2 linked regions of the Sus scrofa genome follow. The protein of the gene in region 2 purifies or fractionates together with the protein of the main gene of each other region. This does not show direct contact. Links are inferred from orthologs where the notes say so. Each region holds a gene or a part of one and is shown on either strand. Other genes may lie near its edges.

Region 1 (4,156 bases), about 13 Mb from region 2:
ATGCTGTTCTAAGAGTTACATGTATATTAACTCATTCCCATGTTACAGCTGAGAAAATAGTGATAAGTGACTTGTTTGAGGTCACTGGACAAGCAGAGCTGGGATTTTACCCCAGCGATTTGGCCCAGAAATGATGTCATAACCACCTCTGAACATAGTCACACCAAAACACACAGACCCGAGAGCCACACCCTTGACACATTCACACACAGCAACACAAATTTAGAATGTCATACCTGCTGGCAAACACAGCCTCAAACAAAATCAACCAAGACACATGTATTTTAAGTAAGCTTTTCATTGACGTGCTATAGACACAGGGTAAAGTACACACATCCTATATGTACAGCTCCGCGAATTTTCCAAGAGTAAATATGCCGTGGGAACCAGCACCAGATTAAGAAACGGAATCTGACCAGTTCCCAGAGGCCCCTCTTAGCCCCTCCCAGTCCCCAGGGTGACCACTCTCCCCGGTGTTTCGCACCATTTATTGGTTTTGTCCAGAACTTTCTCTGAATGGGATCACAGGGCGTATTGCTTCTCTGACCTCTTTCACGAGACGTCCCCATGTTGTGTGTAGCAGGACATCACTCTCCTTGCCCTGTCGTCCATGGTGTGAACAGGCTACAATTTATTTTCCATGGCCCTGTGGATGGGTTGTTTCTAGCCTGAGGCGCTTAGGAACAGAGCTATGGACATTCCAGTACAGGTCCCTTGGGGCTCCTACCCACGCATTTCTGATGGGTGTTAACCATCCAGGAGCGGAACTGCTGGGTCACAGGGTTGGTGTACGTTCGGTTTCACTAGAAAAGCGCCAGCTTTCCAAAGTGTCTCTATCAATTTACACTCCCCCAGAAATATGAGAGGTCCAGTTGCTCTACTTCGCCTCCACTTGGCAAGGTCTCATCTGAGCCATTCTGGAGGGTGGAAGAGGCACTCAGTACATTTACAGTGTCTGGCACGTAACTGGCCCTCAGTTAATAGCCTGTAGAATGAATGGATGAAGAGATAGTTGCAGCGTAGAACCAGGCAGCCGAGCAAGGGACACACACACACGCAAACACACACACACAAACACACACACCGTTCCAGGGTCCACCCACGCGCAGCGGTCGCACCCGGGACACAGATCCTCTCGCGCCCCCTGGCGCCCACGTGGTCTGAACGCACGGCCGCAGCCCCGCCGCGCGCGTCCAGTCGCCGAGCTGCCCCAACCTCCCTCTCGGCCGCGGGCAGGGGGCGCTGCGCGTCCGGGCGCCTCGAGGCGGAGGCGGCGGGCCCGGTCGGGGCGGGGCCGGCCGGCTTCCAGGCCTGGGCTCTGGCCGCCCGCGCCGCCGGGCGGCTCCGGGGACGGGCCGGGGCGGGGCGCGGCGGCAGGAAGCGGGGCGGGGACTCGCGGAGGCGTTGGGGAGCGAGGGAGGGCGCGGCCAACTCCCGGAGGGGCGACAGGCCGAGAGAGCGGCGCCCCGGCCTGGCGCCGAGCCTGAGCCCGCCGGACGGGAGGCGGCCCAGCCGCGGGCTCGGCCTCGGCCCCAGCCCCGCCAGCATGGCCGGCCGGACCGTGCGGGCCGAGACCCGGAGCCGGGCCAAGGATGACATCAAGAAGGTGATGGCGACCATCGAGAAGGTCCGGAGATGGTGAGCGCTGCCCCGGGGGCCAGGGACGGGCCACGGCGGGCCATTCCTCCCCCGACACGTCCACACCCCCTCCGCCACCTGTGGCCCCCAGGTGTTAGGTGTGCCCCTCTCCCCCGCCGCCCCCAGCTGCGTCCTGGATCTGCAGGGCTCTATCTCTCTTCTCCTGGCTACACCCTGGGGTCTACAAAGCGTGTTCCCCAGCCCTGCCCTCCCAGAGCTGGAACCCCCCCTTTATGCCCCGCCCCCTAAAGCTTTGACACTCCTCCCGCAAGTGTGCCCCGGGATCTTCGAGGCTGTGGTCCCAGGCCTATAGTCGCGCTCTCCATGTATACCCCAGGGGTCTGCCGCGTCGTGACCCCAGCCTATTTTTTTTTCTCTCCCTCTCTCTCTTTCTCCCGCCCCCCACCTATGCCCTGAGGTCTGCCGGGCTTCTCCCTCCAAGTCCCATTAGCCACGCTGCCGCTTCTTTTGCGCACCACCCCCACCTCCACACGTATCCCCAGATACATCCAGCTCCTGGGCTGGCTCTCTCCTCAGGCCTCTCTGACCCCGTCCCTCCACCGTCCCACAGGGAGAAGCGCTGGGTGACTGTGGGTGACACTTCCCTGCGTATCTTCAAGTGGGTGCCAGTGGTGGACCCCCAGGAAGAGGTGAGCAAGCTCCCCCACACCAGGCCCTGCATCTGGGCCACCTCGGGCAAGCCCCTCCCGGCGGCTGGCCTCCACCTCCAGTCCCCACTTAGACCTTACATGCAGCCTCGGGAACAGATGTTAACAATTATTAGCAACTCCGCCTCTTTCCCCTCCCCCGCCACCAGACCCCCTGAGTTCACGGCCTAACGCCGCCGCCGCCGCCGCCGTGGCGCACAACCTGTCGCTCACGGAGGGCCTTCTGCTTCTCTGTGCCTCAATGTCGTTATTTGTTCAGTGGGGGCTTTGCAAGCACTAACTAGAAAGCTGACTGTAACCCTTCGTCCTCTAACCCCCAGGAGCGTCGGAGGGCAGGTGGCGGCGCAGAGCGATCCCGAGGCCGCGAGCGGAGGGGCAGGGGCGCCAGTCCCCGAGGGGGGGGCCCTCTCATCCTGCTCGATCTCAACGGTATGTCGGGGATGCTGGCTGGGCTTTGGGGCAGCGGTGGGGAATGAAGGAGGGGATTGGGCGCCTCAGACCCAACCCTTTCTGCTCTTGCTCCCACAGATGAGAACAGTAACCAGAGCTTCCATTCAGAAGGCTCCCTGCAAAAGGGCACGGAGCCCAGCCCTGGGGGCACCCCCCAGCCCAGCCGCCCTGTGTCACCTGCTGGACCACCGGAAGGGGTCCCTGAGGATGCTCAGCCCCCACAGCTGGGCCAGGAGAGAGGTAGGACCAGGTGCCTCCCAGGAACCTTCTCCTCTGTGTCTTGTCCTCTCCAAGGTTGCAGCCCCCCACTTGTCCTCTGTCTGGTCCCCCTCCTGTGTCGAGTCTTCTGGAGACCATCCCTGAGTCCTGTGGAAAGTGACTGCCTTTCCTCTAGGGCCTTTGGCCTTCCTCTGGCTTCTTTGGGTCTGTAGATAACTTATCACAGATTTTCATGTAAATTTAGCTTTTGAGTAGTTAAATATCTTTCTTCCCCATTCCCACCTCCTGTCCGCTTCCTGAAGGTTGGGCCCATCTTGATCCTGTTCTCGGCTGTATCCTCGGAACACTGCGGACCACCTAGCAGGTGCTCAAGAAATATTTGTTGAGGAATAGGTAATAATCAAAAGACTGATTAACAGTCGGTGATAGTTACAGCTAATACTTACTGAGCTCTTTCTGCGTGCCCGACACCCCGCTAAGCTCTTTCCATGTTTTATCTCATTTCATCCCCACTGCAGCCCTATGAGGGCTACGATCTCCATTGAGAGATGATATACCCGAAACCCAGAGAAGCTGCCCAAGTTCACCCAGCCAGCGAGCCAGGATCTTGGGCCTGAGTCTTCATCAGCTCCTCTTTCTTCCCGTAAAGTCAGTCCCCTGTCTGATCAGATCCATCTCTCAATGTGTCTGTCTGCCTTCCTCTGCCTGCCCAGGCCCTGTCGTCTCTCTAACCCACACCCGGCTCCGGCCTCCTCATGGGTCTGTTCCCCTCCAGCTGCACCCACACAGCTACCAGAGCATGCGTTTGATGGGGTCATTTTCCAGCTTCAGAACCTTCGATGGCTCCCTCTGACCTTTGACCCCTCAGCTTGGCACTCTGGGCCCTTCCCGAACCGTCCCCTGCTGACCTCACTGTTCCTTTCCAAGAACACCAGGACTTAGGCCTCCGTTCTGTGTCTGGATCGTAGCACACGCTCGTGTACCTTTACTGATATAAAAAACCATAATTGGCATTTCTCGAGCACTCACCGCATTAAAACCGTGTTAACGGTTTTGCCTGTGTTACCTCCTTTGATTCATACACCATCTGATGTGGTAATTACTATAATTATCCCCACTTGACAGATGGGAAAACAGGGTTAGAGAAATTAAGTCACTTGCTCGAGGTCAAGATTCGAACT
Region 2 (4,000 bases):
TCTCCCTGCTGGACAGGCAGTTCCCAGAGCAGGGAACCACTGGGAACACCCGGGGGCACCCAGGTCTGACCCCGTGTTTGGTGGAGAGACCAGGGCAGGAGTGGGCCCCAGCTGGTCCCTGCTGCCCCACCCCCCTCCCCCTAACTCCTCTCTGGCACATTGAATGTCCTTCCCCAGTCCTTGGTGGCCTCCAGATGGTCTAGGAGGGCAGTTCAGCTGTGGCTGCACGTGACAGACAGACGATGGATGGTGGGTCCCAGAGCTGTGCTCAGTGGCCCTGCCTGCCTGCAGCCAGCAGTGCTTGGCAGCTGCCTGGGTCGCCAGCTAATGGCCCAGGCTTGGCCTTGGCTGGGTGTGACCAGGCAGCCTCAGCCGCAGCCCAGCTCCATGGGAACAGCTTCTCTGCTCTACGGAGCCCACCTCTCCTGGGCCTGCAGCAAGGGAGGCCTGGAGCCCTCTTCACGGGGAACTTCCAGCCCCCAGCCCCTGGGGCCTGTCCTGTCCCTAGAGACTGCAGTCCTGAAGCCCCTGCTACGTGTCTCCAAGTCCCCTGACTCAAGCATGCCCCACCATAGCCCTCAAGCCCACGGTCTCTAAGTAATGTGCCCCCTTAGCAAGCTCAGCACCCCCACTTAGCAAGCTCAGCACCCCCAGTCGGGGCCCCCCCTTACCCAGGCTTTCTGGGCAGCAGAGCTAATGTCGCCAAGGGGAGGGTGACTCTCTCATCACTCCTTTCCCCCACCTGCTCCTTAAGCATGCACCCACAGCAACCAGGGACTCTCGCATCCGTGCTGACCCTTGCCCACAGGGGCGCTCACTGCTTTGGGGCATCCACATTCGGAGGGTGCCGGGGTGGGGAGACCCGGAGACCAGCAGGCCGGGTGCAGGCCTGGCCAAGCGGGGCCGGACCCGACACTGCTCAGGCGGGCGGCGGCCCACTGTTGGGGCCCAGCACCCAAGGGCGGCCGACGCCAAAACTCTCTCCCTCCTCTTCCTCAATCTCGCTCTCGCTCTCTCCTAGCCAGTCCATCTCCCTCCCTCTTTCTTTTTTTTTTTTTTTCTTTTTTTTTTTTTTTGCAAAAGGAGGGGAGAGGGGGTAAAAAAATGCTGCACTGTGCGGCGAGGCCGGTGAGTGAGCGGCGCGGGGCCAATCAGCGCTCGCCGTTTCGAAAGTTGCCTTTTATGGCTCGAGCCGCCGCGACTGCGCCCCATAAAACCCGGCGGCGCGACGCACAGCCACAGCCGAGACCGCGTCCACTCCGCCAGCACAGGCCCCTCGCCCTTGCCGCTCCGCCTTCGCCGCCGGTCTACACCGCTACCAGGTAGGGTCCCCGCACCGGCCGGGCCGCTGATGCGCTGGGCCCGTGCCTCTTGTGGGCAGGTGGCCCCCTCCGCCCCGGCCCCGTGGACAGCCGGCCGGGTGCCGGGAATGGACTCATGCGCTCCTCGTTCGGGGCCCGGGCTGCGCTCGGGGAGCGCTCCCAGAGTGTTTCTTTGGGAGCCCTAGCGGCGGCGATTCTTTGTCCGAGCGGGCCGATCGCTCCGCCGGCGGGAGAGCAGTGCAGCCGGGCGGCGGGGCGGGTGGGTGGGCGCGGCGCGGTGGCCGAGCCGGGTGGGGGCTGGGACGCCAGTGCGCGTGCGTGTGCGCCGTAGGCCCAGGAGGCGAGGGCGGGGCGGGCGGCCGGAAGGGGTGGGGTCGCCGCGGCGCGAGAGCGCCTGCGCGCACTTCCTCGCGGAGCCACGGGCCGCCCCGGGTGTGGTCGCCGCGCGCCCGCCGAGTGGCGCTTTTTGGGCGGGGCGGGGCTGGCGCCCAGTGGGGAGGGGGCGGAGGCCTGGCTTCCTGCCGCGCGCCTCGGGGCCGCCTCCGACCAGCGTTTGCCTTTTATGGTAATAACGCGGCCGGCCGGCTTCCTTTGTCCCCAATCTGGGCGCGTGCCGGCGCCCCCTGGCGGCTCGAACGCGCGTCGCGCCGGAAGTGAGTAGGGCGGAGGCGGCCGCACCCGGCCTCCGGCTCACGGTCCTGCTGCCCCTGCAGTTCGCCATGGATGACGATATTGCTGCGCTCGTGGTCGACAACGGCTCCGGCATGTGCAAGGCCGGCTTTGCGGGCGACGATGCTCCCCGGGCCGTCTTCCCCTCCATCGTGGGGCGCCCCCGACACCAGGTAGGGCGCCGCCCTCGGGTCTGACTTGGTGGGTGGGGTCTTGGTAGCAGGTGGAGGGAAGGGGGAGGCTTTCTGCGTGGGGGCCGGTGGGGCCGGGCCCGGGCTGAAGGCGCCTCGCCCCTCCTTCCGCAGGGCGTGATGGTGGGCATGGGCCAGAAGGACTCCTACGTGGGGGACGAGGCCCAGAGCAAGAGAGGCATCCTGACCCTCAAGTACCCCATCGAGCACGGCATCGTCACCAACTGGGACGACATGGAGAAGATCTGGCACCACACCTTCTACAACGAGCTGCGTGTGGCCCCCGAGGAGCACCCCGTGCTGCTGACCGAGGCCCCCCTGAACCCCAAAGCCAACCGTGAGAAGATGACCCAGGTCAGTGGCCCACTGGGCTCTCTCGGGCGGCCGCCCCCTCCTCTCTTGCCCCTCTTTGCCACGCCCTTTCTCACTTGTTCTTTCTTCTGCCATTTTCCTAGGACTTTTCTTCTCTGACCTGAGTCTCCTTTGGAACTCTGCAGGTTCTATTTGCTTTTCCCCAGCTGGAGTCTTTCTCGTGTTTGCCTTTCTGACTAGGTGTTAAAAGCATAAGGTGCTGTGGGTGTATAGGTACTAACACTGGCTCGTGTGACAAAGCCGACGAGGCTGCCGTAAAGGGGCCTCGGAGTGTGTATCCCGTAGGTGCACAGTAGGTCTGACGTGACTCCCCGACCTGGGGTCCCCAGCACACTTAGCCGTGTTCCTTGCACTCTCTGCATGTCCCCAGTCCGGCCTGACTGCCCCCGGCGGCTTCCCGAGGGTGACAGCGTCCCTCCCTCCCTCCAGATCATGTTCGAGACCTTCAACACCCCAGCCATGTACGTGGCCATCCAGGCCGTGCTGTCCCTGTACGCCTCTGGCCGCACCACTGGCATCGTGATGGACTCCGGAGACGGGGTCACCCACACGGTGCCCATCTACGAGGGGTACGCCCTGCCCCACGCCATCCTGCGTCTGGACCTGGCTGGCCGGGACCTGACCGACTACCTCATGAAGATCCTGACGGAGCGGGGCTACAGCTTCACCACCACGGCCGAGCGGGAGATCGTGCGGGACATCAAGGAGAAGCTGTGCTACGTCGCCCTGGACTTCGAGCAGGAGATGGCCACTGCCGCGTCCTCCTCCTCCCTGGAGAAGAGCTACGAGCTGCCCGACGGCCAGGTCATCACCATCGGCAACGAGCGCTTCCGCTGCCCCGAGGCGCTCTTCCAGCCCTCCTTCCTGGGTGAGGACGCAGCCCTGGCCCTGCCTTCCCCCCGCCCCCCCTGGCTCACCCGGTGGTGGCCACAGCGGAAGCTCAGTCGGGCTTCTCTCCCCCCTCAGGCATGGAATCCTGCGGCATCCACGAAACTACCTTCAACTCCATCATGAAGTGCGACGTCGACATCCGCAAGGACCTCTACGCCAACACGGTGCTGTCGGGTGGCACCACCATGTACCCAGGCATCGCCGACAGGATGCAGAAGGAGATCACGGCCCTGGCGCCCAGCACGATGAAGATCAAGGTGAGTGCCCAGCCTGAGCTGGCCGGGTGCGGCCGGGCGGCGTGGGTGCCACGGCAGCCGCCGCGGAGCGGGTGCTCTGGGGACCAGGGCTCTGACCGCCACCCGCCTCACTGTCCCCTTCTCCTTCCAGATCATCGCGCCTCCAGAGCGCAAGTACTCCGTGTGGATCGGCGGCTCCATCCTGGCCTCGCTGTCCACCTTCCAGCAGATGTGGATCAGCAAGCAGGAGTACGACGAGTCCGGCCCCTCCATCGTCCACCGCAAATGCTTCTAGGCGGACTGTTAGTTGCATTCCACC

What was found.
Region 1: the proteins of ACTB (region 2) and BCL7C purify together in Homo sapiens (affinity purification with mass spectrometry; 3 studies listed by BioGRID and IntAct, with this or other methods). This does not show direct contact. The link is inferred for Sus scrofa from reciprocal best matches to the Homo sapiens genes ACTB and BCL7C.

The regions. Positions count from the first base shown.
Region 1 is NC_010445.4:17,546,190-17,550,345, forward strand, and holds the start of BCL7C (B-cell CLL/lymphoma 7 protein family member C), read left to right. Parts: upstream 1-1,356; 5' UTR 1,357-1,546; coding exon 1,547-1,638; intron 1,639-2,209; coding exon 2,210-2,288; intron 2,289-2,626; coding exon 2,627-2,735; intron 2,736-2,834; coding exon 2,835-2,996; intron 2,997-4,156. UniProt on the Homo sapiens protein: May play an anti-apoptotic role.
Region 2 is NC_010445.4:4,087,581-4,091,580, reverse strand, and holds the start of ACTB (actin, cytoplasmic 1), read left to right. Parts: upstream 1-1,197; 5' UTR 1,198-1,322; intron 1,323-2,035; 5' UTR 2,036-2,041; coding exon 2,042-2,164; intron 2,165-2,296; coding exon 2,297-2,536; intron 2,537-2,983; coding exon 2,984-3,422; intron 3,423-3,520; coding exon 3,521-3,702; intron 3,703-3,832; coding exon 3,833-3,976; 3' UTR 3,977-3,983; exon of another isoform or gene 3,984-4,000. UniProt on the Homo sapiens protein: Actin is a highly conserved protein that polymerizes to produce filaments that form cross-linked networks in the cytoplasm of cells.